Linked DNA regions of Canis lupus familiaris. The protein of the gene in region 1 interacts with the protein of each later gene in a pairwise test. Links are inferred from orthologs where the notes say so. Each region holds a gene or a part of one and is shown in the gene's direction. Other genes may lie near its edges.

The links.
Region 2: the proteins of SNAP29 (region 1) and STX12 interact in binary tests that used the Homo sapiens proteins (3 or more experiments, as listed by UniProt). The link is inferred for Canis lupus familiaris from reciprocal best matches to the Homo sapiens genes SNAP29 and STX12.
Region 3: the proteins of SNAP29 (region 1) and ATF4 interact in a two-hybrid assay, tested with the Homo sapiens proteins (2 studies listed by BioGRID and IntAct). The link is inferred for Canis lupus familiaris from reciprocal best matches to the Homo sapiens genes SNAP29 and ATF4.

Annotation. Positions count from the first base shown.
Region 1 is NC_049247.1:30,788,575-30,792,218, reverse strand, and holds part of SNAP29 (synaptosomal-associated protein 29), read left to right. Parts: intron 1-1,207; coding exon 1,208-1,404; intron 1,405-3,644. UniProt on the Homo sapiens protein: SNAREs, soluble N-ethylmaleimide-sensitive factor-attachment protein receptors, are essential proteins for fusion of cellular membranes.
Region 2 is NC_049223.1:71,975,220-71,979,335, reverse strand, and holds the start of STX12 (syntaxin-12), read left to right. Parts: upstream 1-1,232; coding exon 1,233-1,350; intron 1,351-4,116. UniProt on the Homo sapiens protein: SNARE promoting fusion of transport vesicles with target membranes. Together with SNARE STX6, promotes movement of vesicles from endosomes to the cell membrane, and may therefore function in the endocytic recycling pathway.
Region 3 is NC_049231.1:26,489,639-26,493,888, reverse strand, and holds ATF4 (cyclic AMP-dependent transcription factor ATF-4), read left to right. Parts: upstream 1-1,521; 5' UTR 1,522-1,735; intron 1,736-2,343; 5' UTR 2,344-2,435; coding exon 2,436-2,661; intron 2,662-2,754; coding exon 2,755-3,581; 3' UTR 3,582-3,666; downstream 3,667-4,250. UniProt on the Homo sapiens protein: Transcription factor that binds the cAMP response element (CRE) (consensus: 5'-GTGACGT[AC][AG]-3') and displays two biological functions, as regulator of metabolic and redox processes under normal cellular conditions, and as master transcription factor during integrated stress response (ISR).

The DNA of each region.
Region 1 (3,644 bases):
CGGGGAGGCCACGGACCTGCCTCCTGGTGTGCCAGGGCCCTGGCAGTGTGTCAACTCAATAAACATGTAAGTGCTGGAGAACATCATTTTGATCCTAATTAAGAGCCTTGCCTTCCTTATTCCAGAAAAGACTTATCCTCAGAATGGACGTGAAGATGACAAACCTGAAGTGTTGGAAGAAGGAGAAACTCTAGATAAATTAGCAGCTTTGGTTTTTTTCTTTTTCTTCTAAAAACGAGCTCTTGCAAGTTTTGACACAGTCCAGGCATTTGCAAGAATGACACAGTGCAGGAAAGGTTTTTCCTTTTGTTTAAAAAAACCTGATGGTTTCTTCAGACATGTCTCATGGGCCAGTGAAAAAACATTTAAACATTCAAAGCTGTAAAGCTCAGCATTTTCTAAGTTTATTTCCAACAGGAGTTTAACAGAATTTAATAATAAATTCAATGGATTTTTTTCTGCCCGTACATTATATTTCAAAATTTCACCTGCTGTAACTATTGAGAACTCAGATTGCACGTTGTGTCCCTAAATGGTCTAAAAGCTTTCTACTGACACTTTTAGAAGTAACAAACCCATTATATATTTTTTGTTTTTATCCTTCAGTTGTCTGGAGCATTTAATCAAAAATTGTTCATGATTTTGTTTTAAGATATTAAGAGAGAAGTCTGCCACAGGTAACATAACTGCTGGGATCAGATATTAACAGGGCCCAGAAAGGACCCAGAACCTAGCTTGTGAAAGAACTTGAAGTTGTGACCAGGGCCAGGTAGCTCCAGTGACCCACTGGAAATCCCATATTTGAAAAGGGGGCTATAAGAGCCATAGTCCATGGGGCAGTGTCAGGTCAAAGGCCGTAAGTTTTACAGGGGGCCAAAAAGAGGGAGAGCTGGAGGATGTGCCACCAGTCCAGGCCTGCGCTCTGACCCCCACAGGTACGCGTCATCCATCTTAACATGGTCCTGTGAGCCAGCATCATGTGGGCAGGAGGGAAAAGGAACTCGGGAGCAAGTACGAAAGAAAGCCCATTGAGGCAGGACAAAGGAATGTGGTGTCAGAAAGGATAACATTCCCCTCACAGATGGCAGTATCTTTATGTGTCCCCACCTGTGCTCACTGAGGCCTCATGACAAACCTGCTCTGGGTGGTCCCCTGCAGGGGGAACATTATAAAACGGTGTGACGCCATCACCTCTTGTTTTCCCCAGGAGCTCGTCCGTCAGCGGGGTGTCTTAGAACGCACAGAGAAGATGGTGGACAAGATGGATCAAGATTTGAAGACCAGCCAGAAGCACATTAACAGCATTAAGAGCATGTTTGGGGGGTTCGTCAATTACTTCAAATCCAAACCAACAGAGACGCCACCCGAACAGAATGGCACCCTTGCCCCCCAGGCTAACAGCAGGTGAGTGGATCCTCAGCCATCCAGATATGAAGTAGCCGAAAGTGGGCTTTAGTGCAAATGGTTAAGACTTTGAACCCACTTCTAGTGCCTTGAAGGGATCCAAGATCTTAGTAAGTTACTCACTGGAAGGGATTTGTCCTCGCACATTTTGAAAAAAGAAACATTTCTCCAGCGCTCCTGGTGGTGTTCATTATTTGATGGACGTCCAGTCTAAATAAATTGGGTCTCCAGTAAATTACTGCTCTAGTAATTGCCATTCGAAAGAATATTCATTTCAGAAAGCTGAATCAGGATAAATGTGACTCACTTCACGGTATTTTAAAAATTCTTTAAAAAGTCTTTATATCCAATATTTCCATATCTAATCCAGCCTGGCCATTAATTTTCATTTTAAAAGTAGATGTGAAGGGGAGGTGGTTGGGGGGTTGGGGTAACTGGGTGATGGGCACTGAGGAGGGCACTTGATGAGATGAGCACTGGGTGTTATACTATGTGTTGGCAAATTGAACTTCAGTAAAAACAAATGAAAAAAAGTAGACATTATTCTCAAAAGTTTCAATTAGATAATAAAATCATACATGTGATTTTGACAGATAGTTAAATATCACGTGTACAAAGATAAGAGTCAGGGATACCTAGGTGGCTCAGCGGTTGAGTGTCTCTGCCTTTGGCTCAGGGCATGGTCCTGGGGTCCCGGGGTCCCGGGATCGAGTCCCACATCAGGCTTCCTACATGGAGCCTGCTTCTCCCTCTGCCTATGTCTCTCTTTCTCTGTGTCTCTCATGAATAAATAAATAAAATCTTAAAAAAAAACACACACAAAGATAAAAGAGTCAGGTTTCTGCTAAAATAAGTTATGTTTCAGATCTCAGACCATTGTGTCTGTTTTTTTGTTTGTGTTAACGATTTTATTTATCTGAGCAAGAAAGAGATCACAAGAGAGCATGAGCAGGGAAGAGAGGGAGAAACAGGCTCCCTACTCTAGGGCTTGACCTCAGGTCTCCAGCCACCCAGATGCCCCCTTTGTATCTGTTTTTTTTTTTTTTTTTTTTTATTTATGATAGGCACACAGTGAGAGAGAGAGAGAGGCAGAGACACAGGCAGAGGGAGAAGCAGGCTCCATGCACCAGGAGCCCGATGTGGGATTCGATCCCGGGTCTCCAGGATCGCGCCCTGGGCCAAAGGCAGGCGCCAAACCGCTGCGCCACCCAGGGATCCCTGTATCTGTTTTTTTATTGTAAACCAATATGGCCTTATTATAGAAAATCTATAGCTTACTTACCATAGCACAAAACCTCACAACTTCATTTCCTCCCTTACTCAGTGTTTTCATACCTGCAATCACAGTATTCATTTGGTTTTATAGCCTACTTCCATTTACCCCAGAGTAATGTCTGAGGTAATGTTATTCCACAGATTTCATAGCCCTATCTCTGTGTTTATCTTTTAAATCTGGAATACGGGATCCCTGGGTGGCACAGCGGTTTGGCGCCTGCCTTTGGCCCAGGGCACGATCCTGGAGACCCGGGATCGAATCCCACGTCGGGCTCCCGGTGCATGGAGCCTGCTTCTCCCTCTGTCTGTGTCTCTGCCTCTCTCTCTCTCTCTGTGTGACTATCATAAATAAATAAAAATTTAAAAATAAAAATAAAAATAAATAAATCTGGAATACGGAACGATTTTTTAAGACGAATTTTTTTAAGTGCATAAGTGACATACGGTAAAGTGCACACATCTTAAGTGTGTGTTGACACTTCTACTAAATGGGTGACTGTTAACCTGTGTGGCCACCACCTAGATTAAGATATAGGGTATGGTCGGGAAGAAATGAGGAAACTATTTCCAGCCCATAGTTGTACTGGGGAGAAACAAGTGCAGATGAAGGAACTGAGAGTGTAGCAGAAAGACCAGGCAGGTGGATCTTTGGAATTTATGGAGAGGAAACTGCAATAGGGGAGCAGGCAGTTGATGGGGGCCCATAGGCTGTTCCTGCGGCTACGCTAGCCAAGGTCACAAGGATCAATTTGTTTTGACGATCAGTCATAATCACCATCCATTCCTGATTTTCCAACTTGGCCCTGATTTCAAATATCTCATTTTTCCCCAACTGGGGGAGTGTCTAGGATTGTTTGGTTGGATTTTATCTTTTTTGTTGTTTGGTTGGGTTTGCAGTTTACGAATAAGAAGGATGTTTTATGTCCTCCTTTTTGAGTTTATGTCTTATCAGAGGAAGTTTAGAC
Region 2 (4,116 bases), on another chromosome or scaffold:
CCCCAGAGATTGCAAAGTAGGCTGGGGTGGGGTTGGGTGGAGAACACATGAAACAAACACTGCCAGTTTCCCCTTCATTTCTTCCTATCTTGATCCCTTCCCAAACCCAAATCCTACCCACGTCTGTCCCTTTATGATAAGTTCACAAAATGCAGTCTTCTGTGGGAACATTGAGGTCATATGCTCAAAATTAGGGAATGATTTTTCTCCCATCCTCAAGGGAATGTTTTTTAAAATTTGAGAATCTAGTTCTCTAAAAAAAAAAAAAACCTGGTTTGGGATATACAGTAAATGAAGAGGCTGTTTGGGAAGGATTTAGATGGAGAATGAATTTGGGAATATGAGAATGCGTTTTAGGGAAGTAGCAAGATGAAGACGTAGTTAGCTTAGTGTTTGGGTTTTGCAGTCAAATCTCAGAAAAGCAAATTAACCCCTCTGGCCTTAGTTTTCTCCGTTTTGTAAAGGGGTAAATAACTCTTGACGAGTTACTTTGCTTCAACATTAAAAAAAAAATCGATTTTCCATTATCTATTCTGAACGTAAAGATAGTTAGAACATTGTCCCTTGTCTATGAACAAGTGAATTGCGGTGAAGATTGATACATAGCATGTGCTCAATAACTATTATTATCATCGCTTTATTGTTTGGATTAGAAGAGGGGTGGAGGGAGTAATGAAAGCGACCTGTACACCTTAGAGGTGCTCCGCAATTACTACCAAAGCCCTACAGGATGGAAGTAGAGTGGGGAATTTCAGGAGTTCGGTTACCGCTCTGAGTTACAGGGGTGTGGAATTCTCCCATATATGGGCCCGACTTCTCAGTATAGAACAGAATAGGATGCTAGGGCTGAGGTCATCTGGTACAGTATTATGCTAATCAAGAATCCTCGCCTCCCGTCGCCGTGCTCTCGGCGAGAAACAACACGGTCACACCGGCTCCTCCAATCCGAGCCCTAACCGCGTGACGTCATCGCCCCGCCCCATTTCCCCAAGGCCCAGGCGGCCAGTCTCTAAGCGCCTCTCCGCGGCACCAGTTCCAGCGGCGCCTGCGCACGCGCGGCGGGGCGGGGCGGACGCGTGCGCGCGGCGTGGGGGCGGAGCCAGTGCGCACGCATCCCGAGCCCCTTCCCCCGCCCTTTCTCTTCTCGGTTTCCCCGTCAGGCTGCGGGTTCAGTCTGGCGGCTGCTTCCGGTAGGAGCGCGGTGCCGGGAGAGTCGGTCTCAGTTCCTCGTCATGTCCTACGGTCCCTTAGACATGTATCGGAACCCGGGGTCCTCTGGGCCCCAGCTCCGGGACTTCAACAGCATCATACAGACGTGCAGTGGCAACATCCAGCGGATCAGCCAAGCCAGTGAGCTGGGGGACGGGGCTGGGGGGCGGGGGCCGTCCCGGGGCCGGGCCTGGGTGAGGTTGCCGGGATGCGGAGCCCGGCCGAGGCTACGGGCTACGGCCAAAGCCACACCTGAGGCAGTCTCGGGCTCTCCACTGCGGGGGCGGCAGCTGTCATCCTTGAGTGTGTCAGGCCCAGGCTCCCCGAGGGTCCCCAGCCCCAGCTGAAGCTTGAATTTCTTCTCAGGTGTCCTGCCCTCATGATATTGGGGCCGAAGCAGCAGTCCTGACAGCCCTGGGGTGGGAGGGGTGTGTGTGTCATCTCGGGAGTAGTGAGTGAGTTGACTTGGCGCAGTGGTCAGCCGAGTTTTTCCTGTCATTTGCCTTACCCCCACCCACCGCCCTTTCCTCTTTGGCCAGCTTGGATCAGGAGTTGTTTACTGATCTAGACTTTAAGTTTACATTCTGCTCAGCTTTTTGCTCCTTGGAAATCAGCTTTCAGTTAAGGGAAGTGGGGAGTGCATGTATTTGGGTGACTTAATACCCAGCTCTTCCTCTAATGAATTTGGAAATCAGATATAATGACTTGTGTTTGAGGAGTGAAATGACTTATGTTTTAATAAAGAGAATTCACCGAAAACATTCCCCTTGACATGGTTTTGTCTTTTGTAGCAAAGATTTGCACATTTATTTGGATTTCAAGCTGACGAAGCTTCTGCATTCCTTCCCTATTTAGCTGCTTTTTTGAACAAATCTCATACACAGAGAAGCTCAGGATCACAATCACACAGGAAGTAAGACATGGTAGAGTTAGTGGTGGATTTCAGAATGTCGTTGCTTGTCTTAAAACTACTCCCCCACCCCCATCATTGGGTCTGAGTAAGACTGAGCTGATTGAGACAAATACAGGCAGGTTCTTGTGCCTGAAGATCATTGCAGAGAGCCCTATAATCAGGTTAGTGGCACAACTTTACTTGGAAAGAATGGTGATCAGCATCCTTTATTATTGTGTTTTTGTGAGCTTGGCTCTACTCTGTTGATAGAACTCAGTTGGTCCTAAATTATAATTATGTTCTATATATAAAGAGGGGGAAAGTTTCTGATGGAAAGAGTGTGAGACCAGGTGAATTGGAAGTGGAAGGAAAAATATGTGGCCTGTTAGGATAGAAATTTAAAAACATTAATATGACCACTGATTTGAAAGTGTAGTACTTTGTGTTCCAATGTCTCCTTTTGTGAGGGAGCTGTAGTACCAGTTAGGTCAGGAAGATTCTGGTTCAAGGCTGAAAGTTTATTGTTGAGGCTAAATCTAACCTTAATGTCTGTTTGAGAAATTTTCATTCTACAAATGTTTGTTTGACTATTAGATATACTCATATTGAGTATAGGAACTGTCATAGCCTGGATTCTTTCAACAGGGAGCCTATGGAGTACGTAACAACTGAAGTATAAAGTTGAAAGGGTTCAGTACTGAAGAATAGGTATAACAACATTGAGTAGGTATTCAGGGGGAAAAGATACCAATTTCACTTGGGAGGGATCTGGGAAACCCATTGTGGCATTTGAGCAAGTCTGGAAAGTAGTAGAAAGGATTTGAACTTTTAACAGTGAGGAAGGGAAGAGGAGGGAATAAAATGAACAAGGCGTGGTAGTGGGAAAGCATGGGGTGTATATAGAAAAGTAGAGTGATTTAATTTGGCTAGAAGGGATTCTAGAAAGTTGTGGAAAATTGCGTTGGAAAGGTAAGTTGAGGGCAGCCCAGGTGGCTCAGCGGTTTAGCGCTGCCTTTGGCCCAGGGTGTGATCCTGGAGACTCGGGATCAGGTCCCACGTCGGGCTCCCTGCATGAAGCCTGCTTCTCCCTCTGCCTGTGTCTCTGCCTCTCTCTTTCTCTCTGTGTCTCTCATTAATAAATAAAATATTAGGAAAAAAAAAAGGAAAGGTAAGTTGGGGCCCAAACATGAAGGGCTTTAAGCGCTAAACTAAAGGGGGGTGGATTTAGTCTTTTTTTTTTTTTTTTTTTTTTTGAGTATTTATTTGTGAGAGAGAAAATGAGTGGAGATGAGGGTGGGAGGAAGGGACAGAAGGAAGAGCAGACTCTCCACTGAGCAGGGCGCCTGACCCAGGGACCTTGAGACATGAACTGAGCCAAAGGCAGCTACTTAACCAGCTAAGCCACCCAGGAGTCCCTTGGATTTAGTTCTTTAGGAATGTATAAATTGAATTGGAAGGGAAAAACTGGAATTAGAGACACCAGTCAGGAACTGTGAAAATGAAAAGGAAGGAAAGGATAGGCTTCTGTGGTGACAGAATTGATAAGATTTAGCTGTTGGTTGGGTATTGGGCTCAAGGGATTATTGGAGTCAACCATTAATAACACTAATAGCTAACATTTGAGTACATTCTGTGTGCCAGGCAATTTGAAAAGTGCTTCATATGCATTATCTTACTTAATTTTTTAACAACTCCGTTTAAGTAATTACCAATATTATTTCTTTTTATGGGTTAGGAAACAGATTGATAAAGTTTAAATAATTACTGAGCAAACAAATGACAATTTCTGAATTTGAAACCAGATCTGTCTCTTATGACCAATAATTAGCCTTTTTATACTTTTTAATTAATATTATATTTGTAGCAGTTAGCACTTTTAAAAAAATATTTTATTTATTTATTCATGAGAGAGAGAGGCAGAGACCTAGGCAGAGGGAGAAGCAGGCTCCATTCAGGGAGCCCGATGTGGGACTCGATCCGGGATCCCGGGATCACACCATAAGCCAAAGGCAGAT
Region 3 (4,250 bases), on another chromosome or scaffold:
AGCAGAGCCAGGATCCTTTGGGGTTTGCTTCTAAAATCTGAGGCCTGACCCATGCCTCCACTGGCAGCTGTGTGGCTTTGGGCCACACACCTCCCATTAGTTCTCAGTTTGACCTTGTAAAGAAATCGTTGGGCTGGCTAGTGAGTGGTCTGTAGTTATCAAGGACAGTGTCCGCCCCCCCCCCCCCCCCCCCAATTTTTGACCTCACAGCCCTCCTACAGTTCTATGGCCCACTAAAACGGAGGCAGAAACTCCAAGGTTTCTGCCCTCCAGGGGCCTGAAGGAGACGGAGGATAGTGGAGACCTTTCCCGGCACTCTTCACAGCTCTCCGGTGGAGAGCAAGTTGCAGGCCTTGACCTGGACCGCCGCTTCCAAACACGAACCTCCAAACCTCCGTGAGTGGGCGTGGGTGCTCAAGATTCTCCCCCCACCAGGTTGCAGAATTGGGAGAGGGACAGATACCAGTTTAACAAAATCTCTTAGGGGAACTGCATCTGTATAAACCAAAAGAAGTTCCCTGTGATAGACTGCATACTTTTAACAGAAACGTTTTGGCAGGCCGGTATGCGAGAGTCACTAACTGGGCTAGATTGTGCACCTTCCCGACCGGACTGGAGAGTTCACGGGAAGGACGCGGCGTTGGCCCCTGACGGTGTGTGGGGAGCGTTTAGAACCCGACTGAGGCCCTCAGTCTCCCCTTTCAGCTACTTCGGTGCTTGCGTGTGATGAAAACGCACCCGAAATTCCACTTCCTTTTGCCTAGTTTCATCTCGGGCCTGAACTTGGGTCTCTAATTCGGAGCTGGACGGAGGGTGGCAGGAAGGGACCACAGGGGCCAGGGCCTGATGTCGCCGTTTGGGACTCCTCGGGCTCCAGAAGCCCGGGGGAGGAGCCAGGGTCGTCTCGGACAGCCTCGCGTACGCCAGGCTCAAGAAGCCACTACAGAGCGGATTCACCGAGACGCGGCCACGGAGGACACAGCCCGGCGGCGGGAACCCCGCTGGCCGCTCCGCCCCTTCCCGCTCGGACCCGGCCTCCCGCTCGGAGCGGCCCGCCCATCCCGGGGTCTGAGCCAATAGGAAACCGAGATATATATGACTCACCATGTCTAACCAATCAGCTCGACGCTCGCTCTCCGCCAGCATCTCGCGCGATAACCAGGCGGCCTCTGACTTCACAATAAAAACCTTCCTTGAGGTGAAAGACTTCTCTCCCCGCCCCCCAGGCTGACGCCGGAAGCGAGGTGTGTCTGAGGAATCCCTCCGCGCTCCCGGCGGCAGAGGGAGGAGAGGCTCTTTGATCTTAGTAGCCTTGCAAAGTAGCGCGCCTTTTTCCTTTCTCGAGACGTTGGAAGTAACAACTCTTCTCTTCACAGCTACGCCGTGGACCTAAAAGTCGCTGGTCGGACACGATAGGGGCGTCGGATCGCGAAGACGGGTGGGTGGGAGGCGCGGGTCACGTGACCGCGGCGGAAGGATGTGCGGTGTGATGCGTCCTCATAGAGGCAAAGTCTATAAAGGACCCTCGATCGGCGCGGCGCGGCCATTTCCCTTCCTCCCGCCTGTAGATGTAGATCCCTGTGGCAAGCGTGCGCCTTCCCTCCTCCAATCCCCCAGGGTCCGCGGCCGCCATGGCGTATTAGAGGCAGCAGTGCCTGCGGCAGCATTGGCCTTTGCAGCGGCGGCAGCAGCACCAGGCTCTGCAGCGGCACCCCCCAGCGGCTTAAGCCATGGCGTAAGTACGGGGCCGCCCGCGCCGTGCTCCCCCGGGTCGGCGAGGGCAGTCGGCCCGCCTGGGCGCGGCCTGCGGCGGGGCGGGGCGGTGCCGCGTAGGGGGAAGCGGCTTTACGAGCGCCCGGGACGCGTGGCCCCTGTTTGGGTGTCCTCGAGACGCCGACGCTTCTGGGTCAGGAGAGTGCGGCCCGGCGGGGAGAAGCGAGCCCTCGGCGGCCCCGGCCCCGGCCGCGGCCCCCGACGGCTTCCCGCCCGGCCCCCCGCGAAACGTGGCAGGGGCCAAGATGGCGGCCGGGCAGGGCGGCGGCGGCGCAGCGTGAGTCACGGGCGGCCGTGGGCGGGGCCGGGCGGCCTGGGCCGTATTTGGACATGAGCCGGGCGCGCCTCCTCCGGCGGCGGGGGGAGGAGCGGCCCGGCCCCGAGGGCGTCCATCTTGGGCGGCCCGACGGGGCCGCGGGGAAGGTGGAAGCCATGGCCCCGGGGCCACGTGTCCCCGAGCCTCTGCTCCCGAGTGGAGTTCCAGTCTGGCCGTCCTGCCCCCGGGAGGAAGGGATGAGCTTCCCGGACCGGCCGATGTCGAAGGGGTTTCGGTTTCTGCTTCCGTTTCAGGCTTTTCACGGCATCCAGCAGCAGCGTTGCTGTAACCGACAAAGACACCTTCGAATTAAGCACATTCCTCGATTCCAGTAAAGTCCCGCGACATGGCCGAGATGAGTTTCCTGAGCAGCGAGGTGTTGGTGGGGGACTTGATGTCCCCCTTCGACCAGTCGGGTTTGGGGGCTGAGGAAAGCCTAGGTCTCTTAGACGACTACCTGGAGGTGGCCAAGCACTTCAAACCTCATGGGTTCTCCAGCGACAAGGCTAAGGCGGGCTCCTCCGAATGGCTGGCTTTGGATGGGTTGGTCAGTGCCTCAGACAACGGCAAGGGTGAGTGGGGGTCGTTGGCCGCCGGGTCTGGTCTCCGGGCTGTTGCTGAAGTGTGCGTCTGACCTCTCGGGTTCCTTCTTGACTCTTTTGCAGAGGATGCCTTCTCCGGGACAGATTGGATGGTGGAGAAAATGGATCTGAAGGAGTTTGATTTTGACACTCTGTTCAGTATAGATGACCTGGAAACCATGCCAGATGAGCTTTTGGCCACGTTGGATGACACGTGTGATCTCTTTGACCCCCTAGTCCAGGAGACTAATAAGGAGCCCCCTCAGATCGTGAACCCAATTGGCCATCTCCCAGAAAGTTTACCAAAAACAGACCAGATTGCCCCCTTTACCTTTCTGCAACCACTTCCACTCTCCCCAGGGGCCCTGTCCTCCACTCCAGATCATTCTTTTAGTTTAGAGCTAGGCAGTGAAGTGGATATCTCTGAAGGAGATAGAAAGTCAGATTCTACTGCTTACATTACCGTGATCCCTCAGTGCATAAAGGAGGAAGATGCCCCCTCAGATAATGACAGTGGCATCTGTATGAGTCCTGAGTCCTATCTTGGGTCCCCCCAGCATAGCCCCTCTACCTCCAGGGGCTCTCCAAATAGGAGCCTGCTGTCTCCAGGTTCCCTCTGTGGTTCTGCCCGCCCCAAACCCTATGACCCTCCTGGAGAGAAGACCGCAAAAGTAAAGGTTGAGAAACTAGATAAGAAACTGAAAAAAATGGAGCAGAACAAGACAGCAGCCACTAGGTACCGCCAGAAGAAGAGGGCAGAGCAGGAAGCCCTCACTGGTGAGTGTAAAGAACTGGAAAAGAAGAACGAGGCTCTGAAGGAGAGGGCAGATTCTTTAGCTAAGGAGATCCAGTATCTGAAAGATTTGATAGAGGAGGTCAGAAAGGCCAGGGAGAAGAAAAGGGTCCCCTAGTTGGGGGTGTCAGGAATGTGTGCTTGTACATAGGCTTGCGCTGAAGCTGTGTTGTAATAAATTATTTTGTAGTGAAAGTACTTGAGCTCGTGTGTACCTGGTTTCTTGTCTTAATCTCTACCCTGGTGATGGTGACCAAGTCAAGTGGAGTTGGCTCAATCCTGTTGGGCTCAGGGCCTCCACAGGAGACTCTGGGGGTGAGGCTGTGGCCTCATAAGCCATAACACTGACTAGTCTTGAGTACCCAGGTAAGGCCCCACCTGGGCATACAAGGTTAAATTCCACTTTGAACTCAAGTTCTGTAAACTCAATCCTGGAACTGCAAAGAAAAGGTCTTTGGGTTTTTCTTGGAATGGACTGTTAAAGGAGTTTTAAAGAGATGCAGAAATTCTTAGCCAGTGCTGGGCTCAAAGGCTGGCAATCTGACCAGAGGAATCCTTGCTGCAATTGGTGTGCAGGGCTAGCTCTCCAGGAAGAGCCAGTCTTGACGTTCATTGGAATGGCGATGGGGACACCCAGTGTGGCACCAGGTAGTGTGAGCTTTTTATGTGCTTTCTCCTGGTCCCTGGGGTAACCCTGTGGGGCATTTCCTCTGGGGAAAGTAGGTATGTGAAGGAACCTATGGCTCTTCACCCATTTGGCCCCTCGAAGAGCTTGGAAAACAAGGCA